Drosophila melanogaster: one gene and its partner. The protein of the gene in region 1 interacts with the protein of each later gene in a pairwise test. Each region holds a gene or a part of one and is shown on either strand. Other genes may lie near its edges. The genes, in order: CG3164 and CG1213.

The links.
Region 2: the proteins of CG3164 (region 1) and CG1213 interact in a two-hybrid assay, tested with the Drosophila melanogaster proteins (one large-scale study listed by BioGRID).

Annotation. Positions count from the first base shown.
Region 1 is NT_033779.5:121,687-136,393, reverse strand, and holds CG3164 (uncharacterized protein), read left to right. Parts: upstream 1-5,602; 5' UTR 5,603-5,842; coding exon 5,843-5,886; intron 5,887-7,148; exon of another isoform or gene 7,149-7,410; coding exon of another isoform or gene 7,411-7,451; coding exon 7,452-7,594; intron 7,595-10,166; coding exon 10,167-10,284; intron 10,285-11,127; coding exon 11,128-11,317; intron 11,318-11,473; coding exon 11,474-12,307; intron 12,308-12,362; exon of another isoform or gene 12,363-12,369; coding exon 12,370-12,538; exon of another isoform or gene 12,539-12,599; coding exon 12,600-12,700; exon of another isoform or gene 12,701-12,764; coding exon 12,765-13,265; 3' UTR 13,266-13,770; downstream 13,771-14,707. Other genes in the region: Gs1 (glutamine synthetase 1), read right to left, coding at 2,712-3,911.
Region 2 is NT_033777.3:5,832,796-5,850,532, reverse strand, and holds CG1213 (uncharacterized protein), read right to left. Parts: upstream 9,364-17,737; 5' UTR 9,163-9,363; exon of another isoform or gene 8,870-9,162; intron 6,654-8,869; exon of another isoform or gene 6,453-6,653; intron 6,003-6,452; 5' UTR 5,975-6,002; coding exon 5,830-5,974; intron 5,525-5,829; coding exon 5,111-5,524; intron 5,039-5,110; coding exon 4,122-5,038; 3' UTR 3,965-4,121; downstream 1-3,964. Other genes in the region: disp (dispatched), read left to right, coding at 1-12; CG14676 (uncharacterized protein), read right to left, coding at 2,501-3,235; CG1208 (uncharacterized protein), read right to left, coding at 12,250-13,014, 13,192-13,436, 13,491-13,676, 14,364-14,522, 14,586-14,694, 15,182-15,226.

The DNA of each region.
Region 1 (14,707 bases):
CCCGTTTATTGCCGCTTGTCACATTACGTACTGCATTGAGTCCGTAAATCCGCTGTTATCAGTGCTTTTTCCGACCACTCCCATTGCAAGGCGAGCGAATGTCTTGACCCAGTTAAAGGCTCTGAAAATGGTAATTTGCAATTGGCCAGACAAGAGTCGATCAGTAGATGAGTTTACTGTGACAGGCCGTTCAGGAATCACGCTCCACAATCGTGCCCAACTTTAAGGTAATTTAAATAAAATTCGCAGGGGTCTGGGTAAAATTATTTCATCTCTTTATATGGAATTGATTTGATCAATTATGGTTCAACATTATTTTATTTTCGCAACCGCAGCCAGTATGATTTATTGCCCTTTGATAACCCTACCCAGGCGGAGGTATTTTTCTGACCGAGTCAGAAGTAAAAGGCACGGTACAAAAGATAATGGTAAACGCTGGACAGGCTTTTGCAGCCGGAAGATTAACTTCGTGGCCTTACTGTCTTATCAGTTTGCTTGGACTTTAACCGAGTGAACTGACGAACTGAAGATTTTATAGGAAGGTGAGGAGAGTAAGTGAAGCTTATATTTCTATCCAGTCGATCGTTGCCTACATTTATCTAGAGCAAAAATATATTATTTTGATCACTTGATTCAGTGATATATCAATATCATTTTGTTATCAATAGTTTCGAAATCAGGTGTCCAGCTTATCATTCCGTTTTATGCAAATCGCCTGGTCTCAGGCAGCATAACTGGATCTCCTCAGGCCTGCATTGTATGATGTTGACATCTTTGAACGTGTTTCATGCATACCAATGAACCTGCTTCAATTAATTAATAATCTGGTTTTTGGGCGACGGTGCGGAACTATTGAGTTCTGTGGCCATAACAGGCTAGTGCCTTGATTCGATTGTTTATGTGATTTTAAAATATATTATAGTATCTACATTGTGCCCACAAATGCTGCAATGGAAAACGGGTATATTAGATAGTCGAATTGGAATTGGGCACAGGAATGCGTTCGAACATTTAAAGATGAGTTAACGAAGCTATAGATGGTCTGACTACGGATGATTCCGTGCCTCTTTCGGCTGGCTGGCTTGGTCGAACTATCTCTGTGTATTTAACACTGTTTTGTATAAACTGGATGGCCTTATCTCTCCCTCTTAACCTTATTACATTTGCATACCCCGTAATCCGTAATCCGCTCCCAGCAGAGCCAAACAAACACCGCTAACTGCACCTCAGAATGTCAACAATTGCGAGAACGGACATGCAAAGTGCAGTAAAAAAAGCACACTCAATTTTAGATGCTCGAAGACATACTAGATACATACATATGTATGTATATTAAATATCAGTTTAGTAGTACTGCAGTATCTGCTATTTTAATTTAATTCAAATTTAAGATTTATTTTGTAAGTTTAAGTATAATAACCACACTTAATAGCCCCCCTTTGAAGCGATTGAGTTCGCGGTTATACTCAATCAATATAAGATTGCAGGGAAATGCAATTGCCTGCCATCCCAGAGTGCAGTACCCCTGCCCTATCAGCTGGACGCAGTATATTGCCATTGGGAATATACGAGTATATGGAAGCATTGTCTCCTTCGCAGCCATATCTTTCATCCAAGCATACAAACATACATATATGTACATATATACGAGGGTGTGTGTCAGTTGAGCGAAAAACACACATATTCTGAACGGAAACCCTAAGATTTAGTCTTTGAATACTTTCAGTGTCAGGCAGCTGTTTGTGGTGGAAAACTTTCCATTAAAAACAAGGTCTTGCCTTAGCTAGTTTTTGTGCCCTCATGTCACTCTTATTTACAAGCAAGCTGTTCTATATTTTAAAACTTTGATTTTCACAGTCATTGCAACAACAGTTGTTCAAAAGCTCGCCAGAAAAGAGAAAATAAAATAGTCTGTAGTAATGTGTTTTGCTTTGTACGCAGTTCTGCTTTTACTCAAAATGTATTTATGTATCTCAATGGAATTTTTAATTTTGCTAGTGCTAGTATTTAGACATTTATATTATAACAGCATATAGTAAAATGATGTAAAATGCTACCGAACAAAGTGAAGCGACAGATCCGTAAAGTGAGATACATATGTACCAATATATATACATAAATTAATTTCTTAGTATTTTATTTTTAACAACTTCTAATCAACAATTGGTTTTTATAAACATATTTCACATATATGTGTATTCGTGCTCATGGATATGAATGATTAATATGCATATCGTCCGATTTCAGTGATATTTCCTTCTTAAATTTACATTTAGAAACTCTTAGGAGTTATTAAAAAAGTGCGTTCAAGAAGTTAAGGGCAAAAAATGGCGTTGACCGAATTCAACGTCGGATCCCAAAATGTTTGTTTGATCTAAAAGGTACAAAAAATTAACGTAGAGTACAATGTTTTTTATTATTTAGATTAAAGCAATGATAGATATACGTAGTTTGTGAGATATATGGCAAAGTATTCATGAGGCCCCATCGCTTTAAGGAAATTTCGCTTTAGCTTAGTTCTTCTTGCCACCCACCCACGTTCTTAAATTCTAAGCGCACGCTTTTCGTGCCTCGGTCTCCTGTCTTTTTTGCACAAGCAAACTAAATTTTGCTTCAGTTCAATGTAAATATAACCAAATGATCGGATACGCTTCACAGTTCCATAAAACATAATGTACAAAAAATTAAACATCTGTTGCACCGCTCACAGCCTACTCGTTGAGCAGGCAGGTGCGAACAATGGCGTTGCACACGGCGTAGGGATCACAGTTGGAGCTTGGCCGCCGGTCTTCGAGGTATCCTTTGCCGGCCGTCGCAACGCCACGCGGCACTCGCACACTTACGGCCCGGTTGGCCACGCCCCAAGAAAACTTATCGATGCTAGAAGTCTCAAGACGTCCCACGAGGCGCCGTTCATTGTCTTTGCCTTCCTTGGGGTCGTATGCCTTGATGTGCCGCTCGTGGCGCTTGCTCAGCTTCTCGATAGCTTCCTCGATGGCCTTGATTCCGCCATCAGCACGCATCTCCTTTGTGGAAAAGTTGGTATGCGCGCCGGCTCCGTTCCACTGACCCTCCATCGGTTTGGGGTCAAAGGTGACCACTACGCCATACTCCTCAGCTATGCGCTGCAAAATATATCGCGACACCCATAAATCGTCACATGCCTTAATCCCGGCTGGACCAATTTGGAACTCCCACTGCGCGGGCATTACCTCGGCATTGGTGCCGGCGAAGTCGATCCCAGCATACAGGCAGGCCACGACGTGGGCCTCCACAAGATCGCGAGCGTACACACGGTCAGCTCCCACGCCGCAGTAGTAAGGACCTTGTGGGGCTGGGAAACCGTTCTCCGGCCAGCCGAAGGGACGTCCGTCCACGTCTAATAAAGTGTATTCTTGCTCAATGCCGAACCAGGGCTCCTGATCGCTAATTAGGTCAATGGCTGCCTGGAACGCGGCACGCTTGTTGGACGCCGTCGGCTTGCCGTCGGCGCTGTAGGTGTCGCACAGGACAATTACGTCGTTCTTTCCCGGCTTAAAGGGATCGCGATATATGGCGCGTGGCTTGAGCGTGGTGTCCGAGTTCTCGCCATGGGCCTGGTAGGTGGAACTGCCGTCGTACTGCCAATCCGGCAAGTCCTCCACGGAGCTGGGTACTTTGTCCAAAACGCGATCCTTGAGGCGAATGTTCTCGCCGGTACCGTCGATCCATAAGTAAGTAGCCTGCACTCGATTGGCCGGCGTTTCCAGGTTGCGGTACCTCTGCAGAATGCTCTTGTCTAGAGCCGTGTTGGGGGAGTTGGCCAAGAACTGGGAGCGGGTGGTATTGCCAGTACGCAGCAGACGCAGCTGCTGTGTTGCGGGAGCCACCAGCTCCTTCTTCAGGAAGAGTCCTGCCACGCGTAGTGCCATCTTGGTTCTTGGATTGGAGTCGGCGAGAAGGACAAAAGGACACGGTTAGTTATGTATTGCTGGCGAATGTGAGGACGTGCGCAGGAAGGGCAAGGGCTGGTGGCATGCTGGCTCACTCTGCTTTTCTCATGAATTTTTATGTAATTATTTTCCTTGCACTTGATTTTCCGAGGTAGTTAAAAAAGGGGTACTTTTCCAGTGAAGACGCAGTCTTCCGCACAACTTACCGTGCTCTGCTCGTTTTTCCACTTTACAGTTATATGATTGGTTAAACAGTCGCTGGTTGGACAGGTCTTTTGGTAATTTTGGATTGCGGTACTTTCGGTTTTCGTTTCTGTTTCTGTCAGGGGCTGCGGAGCGACTGTTGGGGACACCCGACCAATTCGATGTTTGGAAGTCTTGTGAGCACAGTTAGCGCGACAGCATTCACTTTTTTCGTTGTTTCGTCGCGCGCCTCGGGTTTTTCTTTATCTCGTTTGCGACGCCGACGCACAGACAAAGGCCTCCCAGAGAGCATTCAAAACTGGCGGTATATGAGCACCCGCTCCGCAGCCACTAGCCAGAGAGACCTGCAATGCGACCCATAATGTTTATGTTTCGAGGCTAGTCGGGTAGCCAAAAGCCCCGTTACTGAGCACACGCTATAAGCTCATTTATGCATTTCGAGCACTTGTAGCTTGCATTAGCGCCAAATGAAAAACAAAAGTTTTTAGTAATTCTCATCGTAGAACACCTGCACCATTTATGTGCATGGCCCACTTTAGAACCCACAAATTAAGTTCTACATTTTTGATAAATTCATTTCAGAAACTATGATAGGTTACGCAGTATGCAGATGCATTTCAGCAGTACTACTTATTACAACACTCTCTCATTTCTCGTAATCTCTTCGTAAAAACCTCCACCATTTTGCTCTTTGGCTGATTGTTTTGAATACACGCCTGGTACAAAGTTCACTATATACAATTAAATATAGCGAATGCAAGGAGCACCGTATCAGCTGTGTCTATTCGTGTTTGGCATTTGATAAACTCTGTGGTGGACCGCATTAATAGAGCCTTAAATGAAGCAATAATGATTTGTTTATAATATGTAAATTCGGTACTAAATGTTCCTATTCCTGGCTTGGGTCTCGCATACGACGTTCTGAATATTAAAAATATATCTAACTAAAACTATAACTAAAATAGCAGTATAAGTACACAGTGTAGCCAACTTTTAGGCTGAGTATGTAAAACGTTGAAATTTAAATGCTATGTAAATTCTGATCTAAATATCCTGTGTGGAGGATATTCAATATTTATTTGTTACAGATTATACTTAGTCCTAGGCCGTCGTTCATCAAGCCACGCATATTGGCCCACTCCCTCCTACATAATGGCATGTTGTCGCACAAAAGCCGAGACCACAGATATGTCTTCCAATTATTTGTTGGTTGCCTCGTAACTTAGAGGAAAGTACTGAAGAACGGATGAGTATATTTCAGATAGGATTAATGTTAAAATAAAGCTAAAACTCTGTTTCTGGCGGGAAAGCAAGCTTTTTTGGACGGCTCATATTGGGAGAGCTTCAGGTGGGCATAACAAAGAAAACAAGGAAAACAGAGGAAACTTTTATGTGCCAATGTGTGAGTGCCACTTTTCACCATAGACCCGAGTAATTCCCATATAGCCGTCTACGCTTTTCCAGTTACGTGGCATCGTTTCCACTAGTTGGCCGGCTTCAGTTTTCGCAAGAAACTACGAAAGTTTCCCTCCAGCAGAGTGTACATATTTTTACACCCGATGTGCAACAACCAAATACAAAATCGCTAATTCTTATATTCGGTTTGGGTTTCGACTGCCTATTCGTTATTGCCTGCGACTTAGCTTTCGCGAAGGCAACTTGTTGCTTCAAAGCGATGGTTTCAGTAGCTGTTGAGTTACGGCACCATGAACCAGTATAGTTGGAAGCAGTTTTTGGAAAATAATAATCTGTAAGTAGCCGAATCAGGCGGGTCTCAAGCAAAATGCATCACATTTAGTTGGCACATCTAATATACCACACCCCCCGTTTATAAAACGAAATCAACAAGTGTAGAACAACCGGTTTGCAATTCCTGCCAATTGTTGACATCTCCGTGACTTGATTAGCCACAAGCTTTAAAAAATTTCCAAGCCAATAGTCATCGGGAAATTGCCAGTGGAAATACATTATTCTTTCATATCTTAAGGCGACTGCATAACTTTAGTGCTGTATGCTGATTTGAACCCAGAAACCGAACTAGGAATAATATCTCAAATTGCGGTTTGTACTGGGAAAATACCTTTTGTTGGTCAATTCATTACGTTTTTACTTGCCCCAATATATACAATAACCGGTTTAACTAAACGTTATTAGCACTCCCAGTGCAATCCGTAAATCCCAATTAGATTGGGCAAAATATAGACCGGAGCATCGTAAAAGCATGCCAACAAGGAGCCTTACAGCAATGTCTACATCTAACTGTTGCGTTCAGATATACCACAAAACTGTTTCTGGGGCAAAGTTGTAAGGTCGTCCCACGCCATAGCCACAAATGACCTCATGCCACATTAAATGTAGGGAAAAGCAAAATGTAGGTAAAATGTCGCGTAAGCAAACCATTAAAAAGCGTACTAGAGCTCCTTTAAACGAATTACGGCACCGATTAACTTATTTTTACGTAAAACACGAAATGACAAAGTACAACCCCTTATCGGCTCATTGAAAACTCCTATCAGCTGTAGATTGACACCCATAGATAAGCCCCTCCAATAACTCATGAGTCATGAGCGAGGCCGTGAACTTTTAACTTAGATTGAATAAACCAATGGCCAGAACCTTAGCTTCCAGGACTAACTACTATAAAAGGCTGATAAACCAATCAAAGTACAAGACTGGGAATCAAAGACCTTCCTCAAGGTAAAGACTTTCCTCGAAATTAGTTAGTGGTATTTTATTTCGAGATACATGGGTCCGCCGATCGAGGAATATTCACAGATTATAGGCTTTTCCCAAATTCATTCAAGACTTAGTAGAAGAATGCGCTGGCTTTTGAGAGAGAGCCAACCCGCAGTGCCTCTCAATCGCACTAGAATCCCCACCAGAAGTAGTGCTTCTATTGTCGTCCCACTCTAACCACAGACGTAAAGCATTGGGGCTGTGAGAGTATGCGATGGCACTCTCTGTCAGCGGTTGCCTAAATTTCTGCCTTTGTTCCACTGCCGCAATTGCTTATTTCAGTTGCGATCGCGGCGCGAGCGAGTGAAGTCCTAATATTTGAGAAGCGGCAGTACCGTTTCGAGCAGACGGGTGGAAAATTTCTCTCACCGGACCAGACGGTGGTGGAATCGAATCGAGAACGCGAACGAAAAACCAAACGGGAACGAAGGGCAGCAGGGGCTGCAGTATTGCTGTCAGTGCTAAAGTTTACAAAGAATACACACACAACACAGTGGTTGCATTTTGCTTTTTAACCCCTGGTTGATTGATTGACAAGATGACTAAGAACGATAATGCAAATCTGTTGAACGACAACAGACTGGGCACAGCCGGAGCGGGTCAGTTGAAAGCTCAAATAGTACCCGCCCAGCCAAAGACGCTCCAGCACCTCCCCAAGCGACCAGCGGTGGACCTGGCCTTTCACAACCTGACGTACCGCGTCAAGGAGGGGAACCGGAGCAGTAAGTACTTCCACTGTCTAGTACCTCTCTCTATATCAAGCTGCACTCCTCGGCAGCACGAGAGCGGGATCTTGAACCTCCCGCGCCTGCTCTCACCTCACCCTAGAGCTTTTGTTTCCGGTCCTGGCTAGTAGTACTCCGCACATGTGTTATTGAGCTAGTTCTCCGGAGTACTCTGTCGCTATTACGCACTTCCCTGGCTTTAGCGGGTTTTACTTGTTTGCTTTAGCTGCGCTTCGCATTGTGTTGGTTTCTGGTTTCTTTGTTCTTTTAGCAGCTGTAACGCAGTATCAACACTCAGACTGTGAGCAACGGAGAACTTCGGGTTGTGGCTGAGTAGATATGTAACCCGTCGTCTCTTCGTCAAATTCATTTCCCAGTTTCACAAGGGCGGCTCTGGCCAAAGTTCACTAGGTTTCACCGCGATAAGCACTGCTAAATACATCAAAATCATCAGCCAGTAGCCGCGGAGTAACTGCCCACACAAGCTATTTCGCTATTGGGACAGTCAACAACTTGGTTCGATGCCATAGCATCTAAAAGGCGAGGAGCCATGTACTCGCACTTTTCTCACGTAGCAGTGTATCTACTTTAAAGCATGGGTGGAGCACAATGGGGTTTTTTTTTGGATCTACTGCTTTTATGGAAAACAATTTGTGATGACGTGCCAGAGGGAGAGGTATTGTTTTTATACCCTTTCCTCGTAGACTGCCCCTGATCCGCCAAAAAAAAAAGGATTATGAAATTGAGTAGCGGGTATGTTATAGTTGAGGAAGTCAAGACTGATGGCGGCGGTATGTGCTTTCTGTGTTAGCAGAGCGATTAGGATTTAGTCACTGCCAATAGCTAGCTTTAGTCGGGTGTGGTGGTGAAAACACATTTGTGGTAATATGCAGTGCCCCGGTGGGGCCGTTCAGAATAAGTAATGATGGCCGAGCGATAATATTCCATTAGTTTGGTATGCGAACGTGCACAACTGCTTTATTCTTATATTTATAAAAGCTCATTCATGAAACCCACTCCCCTCGTTGTCGCATTGGATGGCTGGCCTCACGGCGGACATAGTCCGTGAATCCCGTCTAAGATTGAGGGACTGTCAAAGCCTGTTTTTAAGCCCAAGGCCAGCCAAGTGCAAAACTAATTGGAGAAGGCAGCAGCCTGAACTTTGCACACCTCAAAGGTCGGCCATCCGACTCAATTAAGTCGTTCAGAATAAGCGAATATACACAGATTTATTTACACTGCCCTGTGAGCGTGCCCCACCTAGCCGAAAGATTTGCAGATGGCACGCCGCCTTCTGGGGTGTGCTAAGTTATGTGCCAAAATAATGTATACAATATAAGATGGAAGTGAGGCAACAGATGGAAATTGCGCTGATTTTGGCTAACTATGCCACTTAAAGTAAACACAATTAATGAAGTAAGTGCCTGCTAACGTTTTCGGCTGCTATATTAAAACAGATATAAATAAATTCTGAAAGCGACTTTCTGTGCCCTTGTTGCAAGTTTGGCGTAACCTTTTCTTAGGAGCCCTGAATGGTTCCACTTGTTGTCCAATCCGGTCATAAACATCAAAGCTACGATTTGGCCTTAGCGCTGGACTATAGTTTTTCAAGCGTGACCCCACTTTTGGTGCTATTACATCAATTGGCAAGCAAGTAAGTTCAATGAGAGACATTGCGTACCTAGTGGTTACGACTTGCTAGTCGCTGCCTGGCAGCTGGAATTCATTACCAGCTTTTAAAGTCTACGTATTAAGTAAGTCGCCGAATAAAACATTTACAGTCCCTGCATGAGCTTAATAAATTTGAGTTTCACTTCTGAGCGGGTCACGGTACTTTACTAATCGGAGTTATGACAAACATAAAATGAATTATTTCGTAATAGTCACTTTACAGAAGCTCTATAACCAGTCATAGCTCGCTTTTGTGTCCAAAGTCGATTCAATAGTAAATACATCTTTTGATTAAGAGCCGGCAGTCGAAGAGCGTGCCCCCATGAAAACGGGTATATTAGCATTTTCCGTAGAGCAGATGGCTTGCTGTACAAAACTATTGGTTTAAACTTTAAAGGTATGCCATGATTATAAGGCACTTCCGCATCTGAACAGTTCCATTTAGGCAGCATCTGCGAATATACGTCAGAATAAGTCAAACTATTTTTAAACAAGCGTTACTAAAGTGCAATTGGCTTTTTACGAATTTTAGCCGCTTTGTTTATTAGTTGTCCGTTGTTGATGTTGGATGTTTAATAAAATTTGAGTAATGGACGCGGTTGTTTGACAACTGTTGGAATTCTGTCGATAATAGCATAAGTCATACTATATATGGAGGTGGACGAAGAAAAACGTGATGGGGCCATTGACCGTGCTATGTGTTTCGATTGTCAGACTTTGCAGATTTTGTTTACCTATCGGCTCTACACTTGCTCGTCCAAAAGCCAATGCAATCAATATCTTTCTTGATAGCTGCGGCGGCACTTAGATATTGACGTAAGACATATCAAAACGCGAACTATTTTTAGTCCCAACAAGAGATTGGCCCAAACACTAATTTTGTGTGTTTTTATTACAGATGCCAAGACCATTCTGAAGGGCGTCAGTGGACGCCTCCGGTCTGGAGAACTCACCGCCATAATGGGACCATCGGGTGCTGGCAAGAGTACGCTGCTCAACATTTTGTCTGGCTACAAGTAGGTTTCGCAGGGCCTGATTATTTGCATTCACGTCAAGTAGCTGCTGATTCCGACACTGAATCTGACCTTGCGCCAGCGCACGAGAATACGGCGAAACGAGTTCGAAAATGTTTATATTCAGCCCTGTATTATCATCAGAAATAATTGCGACTTGATAACCACTCTGCCGCTTTTGGTGCTTAAACAGCCGACCTATTCTCGCCTTGCGTTCTTCGTATTTCTGTATTTTATGTGGGATACACACTTACATATGTACCTATTCTAAGCGCAAAGACTTTCCTTCTACAGCTCAATCTTTATTTATTTATTGTAAACCTTAAATTTTGCTCTATTGCATAATAATCATAAACCGTTTCATTACCCTTTCATGCATTAAATTTTGTTACCAGGAGTGGTCAACCGATCACCCTGAATCGATACGAGCAGGAAATCTATGATACATAGATACAAGTGTACTTGTGTGTAATCGACTGCTTTGCTATTTCCTCACACACATTTAGCAATGTCGCCAAGTTTTATTGGTTTGAATATTTGAGGGAGAATCAGCTACTACTTTGCTGGACTTCGGACTTAGGTTGCCCGATCGCGTGCACATGTATGCTTAGTATATCAAATAAAGGTCCGCATACACACAAACGTAGATATGCACAATAAAATACACGCTAGATTACTCGAAATTGGCTTTGCCCAGTGATAATAGGTCTAGTAGACGCACAAAAAAAAAAGGTTGGGCCTTTTTAGACTATGGTACAGGAATGTAATTTAGATGATACTCATACTTACAATAGCCCTCGGTTCTAAAATCCAAATTACCAAATTACTAATCTATTGCACTTGCAGAACTTCGAGCATCGAAGGCAGCGTTACGATGAACGGTGCCGAGCGCAACCTAAGCGCATTTCGCAAGCTTTCTGCCTACATCATGCAGGACAATCAGCTTCACGGAAACCTTACCGTCCAGGAAGCAATGACTGTGGCAACGAATCTGAAGCTCAGCAAGAAGTTTTCGAAGCCCGAGAAGCATTCAATGGCAAGTTGAAAAAATTAAAAAAGCCCGAGAGGAAGAATTTGATAACTTTAAAGATTAATCATAAGTAGCCAATCCAGTAGACAATTTGATTCGACAGTCTTGTGTATTGGGTTTTATCTTAAACGTGCTAATAACCTGCTTAACACCCTCTTCCAGATCGATGACATTTTGCTTACTCTCAGCCTGAGCGAGCACCGATATACGATGACTCGAAATTTGTCCGGCGGTCAGAAAAAGCGGCTCTCGATTGCCCTTGAACTGGTCAGCAATCCTCCCATAATGTTCTTTGACGAACCCACATCCGGCCTGGACAGCTCTACCTGTTTTCAGTGCATTCATCTGCTAAAAATGCTAGCTGCTGGCGGACGCACAGTCATATGCACCATCCATCAACCGTCCGCTCGTCTCTTCGAGATGTTCGACCAGCTGTACACTCTCGCAGATGGACAGTGCGTTTATCAAGGCAGTACAAAGCAACTGGTGCCCTTCTTGTCTACGCTAAACCTGGAGTGCCCCAGTTACCACAATCCGGCAAGCTACGTGATTGAGGTGTCCTGCGGGGAGCACGGAGATCATACGCGCAAACTGGTCGATGCTATTGACAACGGCAAGCGGGACGTTCGTTCATCAGCAGACTATGCCGGCCTCAAGGCTCGCAACGATTTGGTAAAGGTGCAAAACCTGAAGGCTATTCTCGATAAGAACGACGCTTCAAGTGTCAGCGGTCGCAAGTACGAGGACAATTTGACCTTGAACAACGGTTTGCTCAACGGCATGGTCAATGATATTGTGAAGGAGGGCAACGTTAGCTCTGCCTTGGTCACTACCAATGAAAGGGGAGATGCCATGATCGATGTGGAGAAGTCCGTAAACTGCACCACTGCCTTGCTTACGGAGGAGATAACATCACCAGAGCGATATCCAACATCGCAGTTTCACCAGTTCTGGGTGGTTCTTAAGCGAACTTTACTCTTCAGTTACCGGGATTGGGTAAGAAAACTTATAATGGTGCTTTTCAGGATTTTAGTAAACATTGCTTCTCTTTATTATAGACTCTTATGTATCTGCGTTTATTTGCCCATCTGTTAGTTGGATTTTTGATTGGGGCACTCTACTATGACATTGGCAATGATGGAGCAAAAGTTTTGAGCAACCTGGGATTCCTATTCTTTAACATGCTTTTCCTCATGTATACATCTATGACTATTACGATCCTATCATGTAAGGAAACCAGTTTGATATTCCTTTCTCTGTAGTTAATATATTATTTTGTGTGTTCTAGTCCCGCTTGAGATGCCCGTTTTGTTGAAAGAAAACTTTAATCGCTGGTACTCGCTAAAGTCCTACTATTTGGCTATATCAGTTGCTGATTTACCGTTTCAAGTGAGTTGCACTCAGCTGTTGAGTAGAGCGAATGTTACTAATACAAAATAATTGTTTCTTTTAGGCTATTTTCTGCGTTATCTACGTGTCGATCGTGTATTATTTCACTTCACAACCTTGGGAGCTATTCCGCTTTTCCATGTTCTTGTCGGCCTGCCTTCTCATTTCTTTCGTTGCTCAGTCCGTGGGTCTGGTGGTAGGCGCTGCAATGAATGTTCAGAACGGTGTCTTCCTGGCCCCAGTGATGTCCGTGCCCTTCCTTCTGTTCTCCGGCTTCTTTGTCTCCTTTGACGCTATACCAGTATACTTAAGGTGGATCACATATTTGTCGTACATACGATATGGATTCGAGGGCACAGCTCTGGCCACCTACGGTTACGGACGGGAGAAACTTAGGTGCTTCCAGACTTACTGCCATTTTAAATCACCTATTACCACGCTGGAGGAACTGGACATGGTTAACGCTAACTTTACACTCGACATTGTGGCCCTAATTGTGATCTTCGTGGTGCTGCGCATCTCGGCATACCTGTTCTTGCGCTGGAAGCTGAAGACTGTGCGATAAGCATATTACATAATTTTAAATGTTGTTTTGGATTTAATAGCTTTCTATGTACGTACTTTATATTGTAGTTTTCAAAAAAGCGTCTTGGGTTTTGTTCTTAATCATTAATCTTTTACAAATTTCTTTTTGTCTAGTTTTTAGTCGCGAAATTCTTCTTTTAAGTGATACAAACGCAAGGAGGTTTCTTATCTTAAATCAGCTTGATTCCAGCCGCATATGTAGTAAAACCAATTCAAACCACTGTTGGAGCACATCATTGATATAAGTGAATCGTATAATGAAATAAGTTATTGAACGTGAAACCAATTTTCTAAATAAAAATAACTGAATAACATTTCCAATTGTATTTACCGAAGGATTTTTGAATGACTTTAAATTAAAAACGAACATGTTTTGTGTCTATATACATTAATATTTTTATTCAAGGTACTTTAAGACCCTTTGGAATTTTTTGTAATATTTTCTTATTACAGGTTTAGAATAAACATTTTTGAATATATACTGTACAAACTACGTGTTCTTGGGGCAAATAAAGATGTCTACCTAAAAAGTTGAAATTAGACAATTTGAGATTATGATACCCATTATTTTTTGTGATCAACGGCATTATCTACTTAAAAGCTCTTGGAGCGCCATCTGCCGGAAAACGAAATCAAGTCGTGCGAGTCGGCCGTTTAAATTCGAATCGCTTGCAGTGGACGACAACGTTTTTCTGGGGCGTCTATTCAAGCAATCAAGCATTTACTTACATACACATAAACCACCGTCGCAAAAATATCTTATTTTCTTAATTTGAAAAAGGTTTTAGCATTGTAGCATTCACCACATGGGATACGAATGCTGTAAATTTCCAAGTGGGATCCCAGATATGAAAACATAAACATCCCGCTGTTTTGTTCACACTATTGCTAGGAGTTTAAAATTTTGCAAATGACATGCCTTAAATTGTTCGAAATTATGGGGACCCCTTCCTATAAATGTGCCTGCTTTAATTTCATTCAGAAATAGTGTTTGGTATTCAATTTTAAAGGAATGTCACTTATAATATTTCGATCCTTAACAAAATCCTAATTGGAAATCGTACTCAAAATTTTAAGCTACTATAATTAAGGTAAGGACTTGACTGAAGCTAAAGCCTGGTCTCTCTTTCTTTTTTATTTGTGAGTGGTGAGTGAGTGGAATCGGTATAAATAGACTGGCCATATCCTTCGAATCGGATTCAATGGGCTGCAAAACAAGTTTTTGATCTTTTATAGCTGAAGCCAGCCTCTAGACTTCTGAAGGGCAGAAGAATTCGGCCCGGGCACTAGACTTCGCCTCTGTAAATCTAGCATTTGCAGTAGCAGTCACTGCCGCAGTCTTCCTGCACTCGCATTTAGTACATATTCGGTCGTCGGTGCAACAAGACGACGCTTCTTCGCTGCTGTGGCGTGGTTGCCGCC
Region 2 (17,737 bases), on another chromosome or scaffold:
ACATCCAATTGAGTTAGTTACTATTGCCGGACAACGCGTTGTTGTTGCCAAGAAGAATCAGGCAACTGCATTTTTATACAGGGTACGGCGGCTCTCAAGCCTGCCCGAGATACATTTATATATACATATACACGCCGTGTGTCGGCATATTTAGTTTTAAAATATGCTGGCGGTGGCATATGTACGTGTTGTGCGAGTTCTACATTGATATACTCTAGATATATGTGTAATTGTACTTGGTAGGATTAGGCAAAGCTATTTTCAAAAGACTCCAGGCTATTGCAATATGCTTTTATGCTTTTTTTTTATCTTGTGACATTTCACATTCGATGCTCCAGCCAAGTGAAAACGATTTGTAAACTGAAGCAATTAGCGGGAGGTACTGGGTACTCTGGGTACTGGGTCTTTGTCGGTAGGACTGTACGATGACGGTATTATTAGTTCTTAGCCAAACGTTTCAACGCTGTTTATGTTCTTATCTGTAATCAAAACTATTTGTACTCTGGTTTTATATTAGGTGTTAAGTTGGGCCGCATTGTTGGCGCCAGCAAGATGTAGTTACTTTACACGATAGTTATATGCGCAGAGATATGTGTTGTCTATCCTAGTTGTATGCGTTCAAAACATAAGAACATACACACGCTCACGTTTGTAATAACCATGTAACTGTGATACAGAAGGTGAGAATCTTAATGAAATTGGTGTTTATACAGACATAGTGTTATATCCCTAAACAATGACGTATTGTAATTACCTGCAACAAAATGGCCCTGTACTTCCTTCATTGAACTTATGTGTTGAAGTGATTTAATAAATGTTACTTGTAAAACCACTACAAATGCAGTCTCAGAATTGATGGATCAGTTTATTGAATGGGTGTTATGCAAATCCGTCATAGTGCGGATATAATTATTTACTTTTACTTGTTAACCCTATGCCAAATTTGCTTCATTTACATCAATACGGGTTTGTGTGGAATGCTTAGTGATAAACAAATTGCTTGCACCCGGCTATCCACTTTCCATTTTCCATTTTCTCGATTAGACTTCCATGAAGGTTCAATTCCATTGAAGGCTCCTTTAAAACGATTCCCCGACGGGCTTGATTGTGAGCTCATGGATCTGCACATTGGGAGGCGTCTGGATGTAATAGGACACTGCGTCGGCGACATCCTCAGCGCGCAGCATGGGAAAGTTTGGAATGACCTTATTGATTTTCTCATCAATGATCTCTGTGTCGACGGCTCCGGGACTTATGCTCTAGAAGTGGATAGGTATTAAGACTCATATAAGTGTTTTAGTTGCTTTCGATGGTTGGTAACAGATTTTTAAAATGATTCAATGTGAAACCATAATCTTTTTGTTTTCTGTGCCTAATGTACATCTGAAATCAAAGTCTACTGACCCTAAAATATAATACATTTTGAAGTTGAAGTCGGGCAACACGGGAATTTTGTGACCCACGACGCTGTTAATGACGACCACATGGCCATCGGTGACGTTGCGCGTCTGCTGCGATCGGAAGGCTTCGCGGGCACACCACACGAATCCCAGTAAATTGGTGTCCAGAACGGCTCGCATGTCGCGGCATTGTTGGGATCCGTGATGAGGGAACCGGTAGTGATGCCGGCGTTGTTCACCAGGACATTAATGTAATGCCTTAACATTATTGTCATTCGAAAAACAAAAGCCTGTCCTTTTTTAATAATATAAAATGTATTACCTTAAATGCACGTATGCATGTACGTACATATGTACATATGTATGTAATAAATACTTCGAGCTAGCTCAATTAAAAATCAAATTAAATATTATTACTGTTTTGGAGCTAAGAGAGAAGGAGCTTTTATCAATAAATATATAGAATGACAAGTCATTCTGATGTAAAAAATTACGATCTGAGAATAAAATGCAAGAAAAAAAACTGAAAAAAACATGACATTTGAAATGTGCAAACAATATCGATGATATAAAACAACTGTTAATATAATGAGTATCAGTACATAGCAAGATTAGTATATGTATATATTACAAAGCTACCTCAGGGAATCGGTCACCACGTTATCATTCAAACATGTGCATATTCTTTCTAGAAATAAACTTTTTTTTTAATCATAACGTGGGTAAACGTTTTAGAATTCTTTCTCGACTATCAGCTACTCAGCTAGTAACAGGGCGAGGGAGACATTAAATTTTTTTTTATTTTATTATTTTATTTTTTTTTGCACATCTTTGCATTTTTCGATCTTTGGATCCATTAACAACACACAGACAAAGACGGACAGATCGACTTCTGCTCTACGATTAACAGGTCTAAAATTCGATAAGCGAAGATATGTAATTCATCTAAAATAATCCTTTTTACGGTACCTTTTGTGGTACTTCGTATCATAGTAGGCGCCGAATGTATATTTAGTACAATAATAACTATTAATAAATAAATCCAACTGCATGCAGTAGCTGGAGTAATCGTGACCTGGTTAACTCGACTTGGGTGCGATTCAGTGCTTGCGAAGTGTGTAGCGATCGATCGGCCCCGATGGCATAATACCATCCTTGGCCTTTATCAGCGCCGGAAGGCAGATGGTCTCGTAGTAGGTGGTTAGATTGTACTTAGTGAACAGCTTGCGCATCTGCTTGGCGAACTCTCCTATCTCCATGCTCCTGACAATCGATCCTGGTTCTGGGATGAGGATCGACTTGAACGGATCCTCCTCCTGGATACGATTGTGATAGTTGCCATAGGTCGTCCGATAGTCAATGCCGTCCGAGCCGTCGAGTTGGACCCTATGCTCGCGCTGGCTGATGAGCGACTGGTAGTCTTTGGGCGAGTAGTCCGACATATAGGTGGTTTTCAGCAGGTCCTGCAGATATTCCCTGATGAGGAAGTAGTCGACGGGCGGGTTCACGAAGAAGAGCTTGTAGATCTCCTCGTTGCACCACTTGTTGCGCTTGACGAACTGCGCGTACTCCTCGCGCCAGTCCATGGATCGTGGCCATGTCCGCGTCTTCAACTCCTGCTTCTGGACCTTCAAGTTGTGCGCATAGTGGCCCGAGATCAGGGCGGGATCCGTTTGCTTCCGGAACGCGGTGACTGTTCGCTTCGGCTTGTCGGCGGTGTAGTCCTTGTAGAACGCTTGCGAGGTGGTGATGTCCTTGCAGCACCTCGGCAGTATGTGGTCCAGAAAGATCAAATCCATTTCGGCCAGCATGGCGTCTTGTGTTTTTTCAGCCATTGCGGAAAATATATTTTTATGTTTTTTTTTGTGTTTCCGTAAAACTCAATTACAGTGTTAGCCTATGTAAAGGTACTGTGTTCTAAGTATTTTTCAATCGTCAGATTCGAAAAGGTATCAGTGTTGTTTGTTATAACATAAAATCTCTTGACGTTGGAAGAACTACTTATTTTTTAATATAATATAATATATAAAATTAATTGGTCTTGTATTATAATCATACTATTATTGCCAAGGCATTAAATTAACAATGAGATTCGCAAATCTACTATGAAGTAAATAAAATTGGATAAAGAGTTTTTTAAGAGATTCCCTAACATTAACAATATATTAAAAAAATAGTAGATAATACGGAATTCATATTACGGATATTAACATACAGTTTTGCGGCGAATTCGATCTTAACTCAGCAGTTTATAACATTGCATACTTTTATGCCCTATGGATTTATGCCCCTATTGGATTTATTATTATACTCCTTACACATAGGTCATCCGTTGATGACCTTAAAAATGTTCTTTTAAAGTGCACCAAAACTTGCACGCCATAGCTTTAAAGCTGAAAGACTATATTGACATATCATATTGTATAGTTATTCTGATCAATAAATCCTCTGACTAAAAATGCTAAACCCCCGAAAGGGTCTTAAAAATGTATATTTTTTACCGTTTTTGTAAGCAATTGCCATAATATTTAAATGTCTGGCTCAGAGAAAGAAATTGTTGGTTTATAATAATATTATTACTAGACTTTTATTTTCATTACGACTTAACAAGAATAACATGTAACAATTGAGTTTGACTTACTACACTAGCCAGTAAAATACTTGCAGAGGGATCCTTATCATTATGGAATCAAGGGCACTATCAACTAAGGGACCAGCTCTCTAGTTACGCTTGCCATTGAGGCGATCCTGGATCTGCTGCAAACTAAGCCCCTTTGTCTCCATCACCACGAAGAGGACGAAGAAGAAGGCCACCACCATGCAGACAGCGAAGAGCCAGAAGGCATAGTAGGAGCCCAAGGCATCTAGGCTGGGATAGAAGAAGGTGACCAGGAAGCCGAGGGTCCAACAGGTGCTTGCAACAACCGAGGAGGCCACCGACTTTATGTTCGCCGGGAACATCTCCCCGAGAACAGCCCACGGCAGCGGTCCGAATCCCGTGCAGTACACGATGTTGTAGATGATCAGAGCAGGAACTGGCATCCAGACCACACTGGAGATGTCTCCCTTGACCAGCTGCATGTAGAAGAATGCTCCCAGGGCCGCAAGCCCAATGGACATCACACTGGAGGACGTCAGCAGCATCACCTTCCTGCCAAGGCGATCGGCCACCAGAGGCGTCAGTGCCGAGGATCCCACCTGGACACATCCGATTATGATGGTGGCAATCGCCGGATCCAGCCCAGTGTTGGCACTGGCGAAGATAGACTGGCTGTTGAAGAGGACCACATTGATGCCGGACAGCTGCTGGAAGGAGATCAGGCCAGCGCAGATGAACAAGGCCCTGCGATTGCCGGCATTCTTGAACAAATCCATCACTGTGCCCTTGCTGGCCATCGCCTCCTCTACATTGGCCTGGATCTCGGCCATCTCGTCGTGCACGCCCTCGGCACTCTGGCCCCGAAGGAACTGCAGCGACTTCAGTGCCTCCGACTTTCGACCTTTTCCGGCGAAGAAGTACGGACTCTCGGGCATCATGTAGAAGACCAAGTCGAACACTACGGGCACCACAATGCAACACCACTGTAGAGCCTGGTATGAAACATACGGTCCAATGGCATAGACGTACAGAATGCCACCTGTAGATTAAGCATAAAAGATTAGTCGTTTGTCCCACTCTCCCTTAGAGGGTACCTATCCAATCTACTTACCCACAATGAAGAGCTGCATCAAGGATCCGGTGGCTCCGCGCACATTGTCCGTGGAAATCTCACCCACATACATGGGCTGCACGGTCATCACGAAGCCGACGCCAAATCCCTGGATGAGGCGGGACATGTACAGAATCCACACCTCGGAGGCCACCATATTTAGGCCGAAAGCCAGGACGAAGAACAGACTGCTGGAGAGGAGCACCCACTTTCTGCCAATGCGATCAGCCATCGGACCGGCCACAAATGGAGCCACCAGAGCTCCGACGGCAATCAATGATGAAATCCAGGCATCTTCATCGGAAGTTATGGGCCGGCTCAGCGGCGAGTCTGAGGTGTCCTCGGACTTGAGCTTGGGCCCGATGGGGGAGGTCCAGCCTAGGGTGGTTCCCACCACAAAGGCGGACAAGTTGGCTACAAAGCATGTAATCGATTAGTTAAGGAGAAAAAAATTACTTTGATTGTTGGACGATGAAACTTGGTTATTTAAAAACACAAATTAATTAAAAATATGACAAATTGTCGAAATCGGTGTTTTTCTTATTGGTAATGTAAAGTAAGTAAATATTTAATAATAATTTGTTTTCTTAAAAAACATACATTTATGACTCAAATTACTCTTTAGATTAATATGTGTTAAGTCACCCCTTTTGGAATTCGGGATGAGTTAGTTATGTTATATTTGCGATAAATGATAAGAATATTGACTATTGACTCACCTGCCACGGCAGCCATAAAAATGCGACCGGACTTGACCGGTTCGGGTGACATCGTTCGAGTGTTTCCTTCTCTTATCTGGAACGTACTGACTTCCGTGTAGGAGTACTGTACTCCGGTCTCCTCCTCCCGGCTTATTGAGGGCATCTGGCCGACTTGGGTTGTACAGAAGCAGCTGCAAGAGCGCAAGAGTGGAAAAGCGAAAGTGCCTCATTAGCAATGCGGCTGACTGGGATTAATGATCTTATTCGCATTTGTAATTCAATCGGCTGCAAGTTCAAACGGTCAGAACTCGACACGTCTCCGATTTCTTTGTGGGATGGAGGATGGGGGATGCGGGATGACGCATGCCACCATATGGGAGGGGAAGCCAAGTAGCTACCGGAATTGTACTCCAAACAGCTTGACACATTATCTGCCGATTTTTTAACGCATCACGTTATCAGACCATTAGCCAGTTTATCTGGACTTAATAGCACAGAAAAAGTTAAACGGAGGCGGAACTGCAGTCTTTTCATTATTTAATGAATGACCAAATTATTTTAATTGCACTATGGACAAATTAATGTCTGTCGCATTTGTACTGCTAATTAATTTATTTATTCGCTGCCACTTATGTAATCACCTCTGGCACTTTTAGCAAATTTGTATAATGATTGCGACACCAAGTCATTAATGGTGTAAAGTGGAATTACTATTGTATTACTATTCACTTTGCATTCTTACAGAAAAATATCCTTGGAATCGCAGTAAATCCCACTCGAGTAGGATCTGCAAATGAAATTAAAACCGACGCAGTCCGGGGAACTGGAGAACTGTAATGCTGTTTGAATAGTCGCATCGCGCGAATTTAAAGATTTTCCACCTTATATGGCAGGCTTTCGAAATCCATACACGTCCAATAATGCTCACTGACACTCGACTTGACGAGTGCTCCTACACGTGCATTATCTTATCAGGGAAGCGCCTCCCGATTCACGGCAAACCCATTTATAGGCTATACCATACCATACCATAGCATATAGTACTACAAGTATATTATACTATTCTATAATCGGAGCTGCCATCTCTCGATCGAAACTCTCTCTGCCTTGGCCATCGAATCGAAATCTCTGTATTCCGCTGTTGTTCGTTTGGAATCGCGCCATTTGTGTGCATTTTGCACTTGAACTGGCCCATATACGTACGAGTATGCCCACATATTAAATGTGATAAGGAGGTGCAGCGAAAACTATGCCCCAATCTCAATTTGTTTGCTTCGCCGACTCGCCGGCAAAAGGGCGACCGGCCCACTTCGGTCCTGGTCAACTAAAAACATACAGCCCTTTCGATATACAACAAATCTTAACCCAAATAAATACCCTATATTCTGTCGAGTGAAGGATTACAAAAAAAGAAAAACGCTTTTGAACTTGATAGAAGTTTTCCCTGAAAAGTAAGCAAACTTCAGATTCTTGCTCTACAAAGGCAAATATTTACATACATTCTGGTATTTAAATTAAGTTGAGTTTAAAAATATAACGTATATTATGCAATGTGTGTTTATGTACCTCTATAGGGCTGGAAAACAAACAAAAGGCGCCAATCTACAAGTGCCTCTGACACTCACACACCCTTCTGAATTCCTAAATAAAATCAAATGTCGCCAAGCGCGGCGTAAACAAGTTTTGATTACGACTGCTAATTATTGAGTAATTTCCGATGCATTTTATAGCCCTGTCCTTGGATCTATTTAGTTGGTTCCAAATCGAAGGTGGGGACACAATTTCTGCGCCTGGGGCGAGACACGTGAAGAGGGTGTGAGGGCACTCGAAATGGAGCCGATTGTCATATCTATTGGGGTAGTATCTCAACAAGTTGATGGTCGAGGAACACCTGGACTGAGCCAAATAGAGCACTTCAGATAAATCCTCCAACTACTAAACTTCCATGGAAAAGTAAGTAAGTAACAGTTGAAATTCACGCAATTAGTAATTACTACGTGGATGTGTAACGTCGCATCTGACATTGAACTGTTACTGTACTGCTTATTATTAAATAACTATATTTATTGACATTCTTGAAAAATGCGACCTCGGGGTTTTGATCATAAACCATTAAGTGATTTTCCCAATCTCTAAGATATTTCAAGTAGTGAGCTCCGATAAGCATTTCGAATAAATTGGACAGCTAATTTTATTAACATTTTTACGTTTACCAATCCGCGCGTCCAACGGAAGTGAGTTTTTTATTTACGGTTCACTATGGCAAAACTTTCCGTAGTTCTATTTAGCATTGGGTTTTGTTTCCACTTGCCAAATAAATGTGTTTTTTGAGAGCATTGTAGTTTTCGTATGGTTAATATGTTTATTTTCGATGCCTAACAGTTGAATGGGGGCGTTTATTTATGAAATTGTTATCAGTGTGCAAATTCAAAGCTGACTGACTAATTACGCAGACTAGCTTCCCAAGTATAAAGAGTAATTAAAAATGTCAAAAGTGGCATTCTACTGTTGGAACATTCTCACAGATCGCTTTTTCACTAACCAGACGACACACATTTTAGAAATGTAATTAAAGTCAATTTGATAAGACCACGTTCCTCCAGAGCCTCCAAAATCAAGTGGTGTTTTTTTCATCGATTTTGTAGGTAAAGATACGATTACCTTCGCAGACATGTCTGGCATTAAAAGCTGATATGCTGGAGAACACAAGTCAAATCCAAAAAACACGTGAGATTGGAATTCATCTTTTGGGGGATTTTTACTTGTTTACGAAATGGGTATTGTGGAAAGTTTTCATTCACTGAAACTTTTGGAAAAATACAGACATTACATTGGGACTTAATGATTGTGTTTCTTTTTCATCCACCATTGATCCTTTTCTAAACACACATATGCTATGTTTTTTAAGTTTTTGCTAACTATTTGTTGTTTTGAAAAGTTATTAATATAAATATTAGTTATTAATAATTTGCCACAATGGAAGATATCATTTTAGATGCAGCTCTAACTGGTTACCTATATGTTTTTATAATTGACTTTAACTGATTAAGAAACTTACAAGACACGTGATCTTAGGCAAAGAATACTCGTGCGAACCGATCGCCACGAAATCAGATGAAGACTAATGGAATTGGTAACAGGCTGATTTGGGGAAACATTATCTCAGCCACTCGATTCACGTTCACGTTCAGAACGATAATGCGTTTAATGTGGACCCTAATCGGAGCACCTGTTATTATCATATATGATATTTATAATAATTCAAGGCGACACTCGATGATCAATTTATCAGCACTCGGCAGCGGGACGGCTGAAAACCAACACTCTTATTAACTAGGTCGCCAGACTTACCCATTTCGTAGCCGAAATTATCAATTAGTGGGCAATCAGTGAAACAGTGAACACCGTTTGGCTGCACAATGCGGCGTACACGTAATGTGGGAATTAATTCAACTCTGGACTGAACAGACAGATCAAAGCTAACTGTTTGGCTGGGCTGTCGGAATGGAAATGATGTCGGATCGCGAATGTTTTGGCGCTTTTGTGTTGGGCCTGAAAAATTATGACAGACGCATTTATACTCGCACTTAGTCGCAAGTGAGGCTAGATAATACGAATTTCACACACCACAGAAGCACAGGGGAAGCTCACTCACACACGTCCGATTGTAGAGATCCAGACTTATCACAGACATATGTATGTATGTATCTATCACCATATCATAGCGAATTAAGCGCGACCGTTGAACCAAGCTCGACTGAGAGAGTTGAGTTTAAGTGATTTGTATCTGCCCAGTCGACAATTGGCCGATGCTCTCGCAGCCTTTTTTTTGTCATTGTAAAATAGCCGAACGGATAAAAAACACACATTTAGGTTTGGTTAAGGTGTTCACAGACCTCTAGTTCCGGACCGAAGTGTGGAAAGCTTTGGGGCTATTTGGGCGATACCGATCGATGTGAATCACCATCCAAGAGGAAGTTAATTAGCATTCAGCGTGTCTGGTTAGGGGAACTGACTGATTCCGATGGCCTAGCTGGCCAAGCGATACAGTTAGTACATACTCAATTAATTTGTTTGGCTAGTCGGCCAGTATTGTGCGTGCACCGCGCATCTGTTAATTGAAATGTCTCCGGTGTAGGCACTTAAGTGCCTTATATCGACATGGTCGATTTCTGGTTAACACCATCCGGAACCGGCAATGCGATATGAAATACATGGGAATCGCTGGCCAGAAGTCGATGCGTTTGTTTATGACGATCTGCTAAATTTAAATCGGGAAAGTGAACTGCTTGCTGGTGGGGGGTTGAATATTGATAAGGAGAATGATTTACAAACTGGTTATCATGTCTTGACAAACTTTTATTATTATTACTTTTATCATTCAGGTTTTGTTGATTGTATAGAGACATGGTAAGACAGGAGGCTCTTGCTGATGCCAATTTAGAAACAAGTTGCGTTTTTTGTAAGCTTCCATTTTTAGAACTATACTTAATTGACAAAGAAGTAAAGCCCAATTTGCCACAGATAAAGAGTCCATAAATGCGTAATTCCATCGTGAGAATAGGTAGCTTTCCTTGATAACAAAAAAAGCATTATAAAAGCAATGCTTTAGTGCAATTTGCAAAATGGGAATATTATTTCAAGATAACTAATAGGCAGTTGCTATTTTAATTTTCAATAAGCTTTTATTGTAGTTATTGCCTTAAGCTTACGGCAATAATAAAAAGTAAATTAAGGTAAATAACGCATCACATCAATATGGACTTCTTAATCAACGAATTCGATTTCCTCGACATTCAGATACGCGTTACCCAGCTGGTGTAAGTGCCACATGTTAAATTTTAATTTCAAATTACAAAGAAAGTTTTCTGAGGTTTATTTTTCAACACTATGATAACATTGTTATTTGCGCACATTAATTAATAACTGATATAACCCATTAATACATTCAATTTATTTACTAGGCACTAGAACTTCAAACAGGAATTAAAATTATCGCCAATTGCTGTAAACTACTATACCAATGTTTACCAACAGCAATACAAAATCAACTTTATGAGCTATTTGTGCGAAATTTATTATTGATTCTCTGCCTTTATCAATCTTTTTGCGACTTGTTTAATTTTTAATATAATTAATTAATTAGTCTAATAAGGCTACATCTAATAATATTTTAGTTCTATACACAAAGTACAATTCAGGTAAGTAAAGGTAAAACGTAAAATATGCTCTTGAAAATTGAAATACAATTCTTGTTAAGTTAAAAGCATTTGGTTCAAAATAAAATTTAATAGCTGTATCGACGAATTGCTCTTACTTATCCTATTTAAAGCGAAACCGTCATGTACATGTACATATATGGACTATATCCCATCAATCCCACCGATTTATCTACCAGTATGTCAATTAAAATTAGCGACCATATCGCGGCATCATCTATACTATACACATGTATATCACTCCCACTTTTTCATCCCCTGCGATATTTGCCATTTGTATTTGTCTTGCTGCTGATTGTCGCCAACCTGTTGAGCATGTGGGCAAATAGCCGAGCAAATACCCAAGCAAATAGGGGCTTCGATGGGCTTCCTGTAATTGCGTTAAATATTTGCATAGAAGCGCCGGCAATCGAACGCAGTGGGTTGGCTGGCACGATTTCAATTTGCATTTTGTGCAACGATCTGGCGATTCCAATTCCTATTCCAATTCGACTCCGATGTCGATCGATCAATCAACCGACGATGACCTTCACACTGACCATGACGCAGGGCGGTGGGTGGTGGTTTTGTGGTTGGAATGGGGAATCGCCGAGCACTGGCGCCAGCAGTGGGCGTGGCCTGTCACAATCGCGGCTGCAATCGCCAGATAGGGATCCAATTTCGCATTTTAAGGGGCGTACCCGGGACTGGGCTATCGCCTCCAATCTGACCCGTAAACACTGCAGGTTCCTGTACAGCTTACTTTTATTATCAAATATATATGTACATTTGTTAAAATTAGCACACAGAAGTATAAATATAGGTATTTGTCTTTGCAATCCTAAAGTACGTGTGTTTATACAGCAGGTGGTTTATACAAAAGGAGAGCACGTACATATGTAACTGGGTGGAAGTGGAAGTCCATTGAATCTTATATAGATATTTGGGCGTGACCTTGAGTACTTAGGAACTAGTTAAACTATACTACGTATCTGAACATCGTGGAACACCAATAAGCTAGGTTGGCCTTGAGTCCGAAAAAATTGTAATAAAATTAAGAATAGGTTACATATCTTGGCTGAAGTTCAATTGTGCCAGAGGTAATTTCTTGTAAATCGTTGAAAATAGAAATAACATATAAAAAGTATTCAAAAGTATCTTTTCAAGGGCTGCTTATTCAACTACGAGTTCAATGGCATTCAGCTAGAATAAACTATGGCATGGAGTCCTTCTGTGATCCTCAACGTCCGCTCAACCAGCTCTGGATTTGACTGGCACTCTTGCCCTTCGTCTCCTGCAAGGCGATGGCAACGTAGGCAGTGGCCACCCCCATCCAGGCGCTGAAGAACCAGAACGGCACATCAGCACCGCCAGCATTGAGCACGCCGAAGAGCCATGTGACCAGGGACACGCACACCCAGTTCATCATTACGCTCAGGGAGACGGCGATGCCCTTCACGTCCGGCATGAAGAGCTCGCCCATCATCATCCAAGGAATGGGGCCATAGCCCACGGAGAAGCTCACGATGAACAGCACTATGCAGAGCAGGGGCAACCAGCCAATGGACTGGGACAGATCGGTGTGCCGATTGATTGTGTTGTAAGCACCCAGCATGGCCAGGCAGACAGTCATGATGGTGCTGCTGAAGATCAGCAGGATCTTGCGGCCGGCCTTCTCGATCAGCAGGGAGGAGGCCAGGGTCATGATCACCTGCACCACACCCACCACTATGGTGCAGACGTTGGGATTCAGCGTGCTGCTAGACTCGAAGATCTCGTTCATGAAGAAGATTACGGCATTGATGCCGGAGAACTGCTGGAAGACCATCAGCAGCACTGAGATCACCATACCGTTCCGCGAGGCGCGGTTGCTGAACAAATCCTTCACGGAGGCATCCACTCCAGTCTGGTCCAGGTCGTTTTGGATGGCCTGGATGGCGTTGCTGGTGTTGCAGTAATCTCCCCACAGCCATTTTAGTGCGCGATTGGCCTCGGAGCGCTTACCCTGCAATTTAAAAATGTGTCCGTATAAATAAATATTGATAATCAAATCATTGTCTGAACTATACAAAACGTAACCGAAGCATTTAGCATTTGAAAAATATTTGGAATAAAGATTTAAAAAATACTTTAGAAAGGTTTATACAATTTTGTATAGCTCTCAGGGACCTGAGACCCTTACGTTTTTAAGTAGATACACTGGCGTCTCGGGCACGATAAACAGGCCGACGAGCAGCAGGATGGGTATGATTAGACAGAGCAGGCTCAGAGTTTTCCATGACACCAAAGCTCCCACCACGTAGATAAACAGGATACCAATCGTAAGGAGCAACTGGAACAATGTGCCTAGACTGCCGCGAATGCTAGTCTCCGCGATTTCCGAAATGTACATAGGAGCCACCACGCAGAAGCTGCCCGTTGCGATACCTGAAGTGCTGCACATTCAAATCGAATTCAAACTGGCAAGTTTACATCACTTACCAATTAAAAATCGGCCCAAGTAAAGCCAGCCGACGGAATTGGCGAAACTAAGCGTGATCCAGGCCAAGATGAAGGGAATGTCCATGACCATAGCTGTATAACGTCGCCCGATCCTATCGGCAATATATCCAGAGGGGAGGGCTCCAAAAAGGGCGCCGAAGGGCAACATGGAACCCACCAATGTTTCTGCAAAGAAGCAAACGTTGTTTAGTAAGCCCCAGAACTTGTCAATCTGCCCAGAAATAGTACTCAATCTATAATCAATACTATCTATACTATTTATGATCACGCAAATCATAATCACTTGTAAAAAAGAGATAGCAAAATGAGCTTAATAGTTTCGGAGGGCCACAGTCAACTTAATCAATTGGAAGAATAGATAACAAAAACAAGAAAGAACGCTATACTCGAGTTACTCGACTATCAGATACCCTTTACTCATCTAAAAACATTTCATATTGTTTATGGAATATCGATAGAAATTGAAAGTTTTGGGCAAACACTTTTAGTTCCGTCTGTTCATACGGACGGACAGAGGAACGGACATGGCTAGATCGACTTGGCTATTGATCCTGATCAATTAATGTAGTATACCATTAACTCCACGAGTAACAGGAATAATCGAAAAATGGTATTTCTAAATAGATTCCTAAAGTGTGTAGGTTTTATCAATACCAGGATAGCTTTACCCTTAAAATAAAAGGGAATCAAAATGCAAACATGTTATCAATGCTATGTGTTGAACAATTTACTGGCGTATAAATGCACTCTATAACCATAGTCTATAATGTTGAACAATTTACTGGCGTATAAATGCACTCTATAACCATAGTCTATAATCTTAAGGTCCAACGCTATAAGAAAGGTACTCACTTTGCGAATCAGTCAGTCGAATGTCATTCTCGTTGGAAGTCGAGTTGGAAATACCGCCAGTTGTGGAATTGAAACTGCTTTCGTTTCCGGCAGATATCTGCGGAAAAACAGGAGACGTCCAGGATAACGCAGTTCCAGCGGCAACCGCACCCAAACAAACTGTAACACATCGATTGTTGGTCAGTAAAGACATCAATCTTAAAACAAATTTATTGTTCTCACTTATCATAGCCGCCACATATTGCCGGGTCTTTGAAGTCTTCGACTGATTTTCTTGTAGAAGATCATAGGTTATTGGATTGCGTGAGTCTCCGTCCTCTTGACTGACGGTCTGCAAAAGAAGAAGGAATCTTTAGGATCTGCTTAAAAGATTATATCACACTTAAATAGGCTGCATTCATAATGATTACGATGGCTGCCCTGCTCGGTTTCCTCACTGGCCTGGTTATGATAATAGGCAAAGTTCTAGCGTTTCTTTGGACTTTGACGAAAACCATATACGTCACCCTGAAAATTGCAAGGACCTTAAGGAAAACACCAACATTTAGCGATGTGAAGACTCGATTTAAGGAGTTTTCCCTCAGAAATGCAAAAACTATACTAAAAGAATAGTTGAACAAGTCTTGAACGCATTCATGATCCAATTCAGTACCCAATTAACTCTTAAGAAATGTCTAAAATCACTTGGTTTGTACACCGCTGAAAATGTGAAAACCTTCTTACTTAAAGCACTTTTTCATTTAAAAACACACAAAAATATATATATATATTGTTACATTTGTCCGACAAACTCTAAAATGCAATGCTGCGATATTTACCTGCCACCAACGAGCCATTGCACGGACCACTTTTTCCGAATCCATTCGAGATTCGGCCGATTTCCGGGTTCTTTAGCAACGCCTTATATAAGACGATCGCAGACGAAACGCACTGCGCCAAATTTGACGACTCTTTGTGGTGTAAAAAACGCTGTTTTATGGTTTGTATATATCGGATTATGTATTTCACTTATTTCTATCGAGTCTCATTAATTATCTTAGCAGTGCGTTTCTTTGTATATGTATTGTTATTATGTATTGTGTATTATTGTTTTGATTTTTCCGCTAATTTTAATGGCTGCCTCTGGGGCAGTGGATTGTCTCGTGCAAACACCTCGAAAAGACTAAACCGGAGGTCTCTTCGAAAAAACGTATTTTCATCTCGATGCTTGGCGAAGATTCTTCTATTGTGCATAGAACTTTTATTTTATCTGAGACTTTTGTCGGCATTTCGTTGAACTGCCAACAGATTACGCGAATCAGATGCATTCGAATCTTTTGTTTTACGTCAGAGGCAAATGGATTTATTCTTGAAATAGGATGCTAACAAATAAACAAACAACCTGTTGGAAGTATTCGTAAAACTATCCCAGTAATCGATTACCCACCGGCTACCGAATGACATTGTCATATTAATTGGCTATCAAATGACTTCTTATGTGAATCCACGCAAATATTACGCATACGCCACCGCAACCAAGTCGAGCAAAGCCCAAGCAAACGAATGCTTCCGACAGTTAAAATTAATTTGCTAAATGCATTTCGGTGCGTTTGAGGTGCACTTTCCAAGTGCATCGGGAACCAAATTCGTCGTCTATTCTCGGGCCGTAGACAGAAGCTGGTCATCGATTAGATGACAACCACGTGAGATTGCCCCTTTCACAGTTGATTCCTTGATGGCTAGGCAGGCGCCCGCTTAAAATGTTATTAAGGCGGAATTTCTAATTATAAAGTGAAACACGTATGTACATAGGTGCATCTTAATGGCGTCAAGTGCATGCCAAAAGAAACCTGTCGCCGCATTCGCACCCAAACAAGTCGATCACTCGACGGCGGTGCGAGCGAGAGGTCCCAGAGTGCGACGGAGACAGCGAGAGGGGGTCAGAACGATACGACTGACACACCCACCAAACAGTGAGAAAAAAGCCTTGTAAATATATTGCAAAATGGAACTGGTTTAAGATCAAAAATCAAAAATATTTAAGAATAAACCAACGATAATAAACCACCTAAAAGCGGTCGAGAAATCTGCTATTAAATCTGCGCAATACACTATCCAATTTAGACGTGAAATTTCGCACAGTGTACGCACAACACATGCTAATAAGCTTGCCTCGCTTGCTGTGCTCTGTTTACTCTGTTTCTGCACTCGCCTTTTGCTGTTTTCTCCCACTTTCCGACGTCAAGTTCAGCGAGTACCTTGTGCCATGTGCCGATGCACTTGGGAGGCCCGTTCCCAAGCACCTGCCCCCATCCATACCAATGGATGATGGCCTTACGCTCTATGCTTCCGCCCACAAGCCCACATTTTACTTGTCTTTATCGTGGCCCGCGCCATTGCAGCTCACTCAGTCGTTAGACAATATCTTTTATTGACGCAATTCCCTTAATTCGCTCAAGTCATTTGCCCATGCGGTAATTAAAGCGATATTGTTTACCCATGGAAGTCGCTTCTGTTGCAAGGTGTGCCCTGGTATTCAAATATAGATGGGTGAAAATGGCAAAGCTTCTTTCTCACGGATTATAGACTCCTATGGTGGGTTTAGTGGGTCTCGATGGGATAGCAAGTCCAAATTAAATACTTTAAGGGCTTTAATACTAAGCGAATTTATTCCATACCCCGCAAAGTTTGCTATGCTTCGATAGAGGAAGTTGCACAGTATAGTCCTAAATAGTTTTATTAAAATGGTGGTTTGGTTTGCTATATGTGCAAAACATTATTCATAAGGAGCTACAATGAATATTTTATTTATATATAAACATTTGTGCAAGATCGGATTCCTTCTTTAGAATAGATCCTGATTTTCACCTTATTATAAGGAAGTAGGAAAGCAAAACGAGACACTTCGAAGAGATGAACTGGGCGGCGAATTTACATCGAATCCAAACGTTTAACGAAACATTTCACCGGATGCGACTGGCCATGAAACGCTACAACTTATTGATATGTAAATATTATTATTTGTATCCCGCAGATTGCCCGACAGTTCAGTGCAGGCCAGATAAACGCTGAGTAAATATGTCAGAGAGCATAAACAACAACAATTGATTGGCACGCGACTGGAATTATGATCATTATATTATATTGCTGCAATGATTGCTGTGTGTTTTACTAGCCGATTTGATAAAACACGCTGGCACTTTGTGGCAGTGGCCAAAAACCCAAAACACGCCTGGTCTTATCAGCCAAAAAGTGAATCACTACTTGACGGCGGCAGGCTAGAGCCCGAACTTTTGGGAATCTGAAGCCAAAGAGCACAGCGTCACGTCCAAAGGTGGACAGCTAATTGGCCATTATCGAAAGCAGTTAGTGGCTGCGTGAACCGCACGCCTATC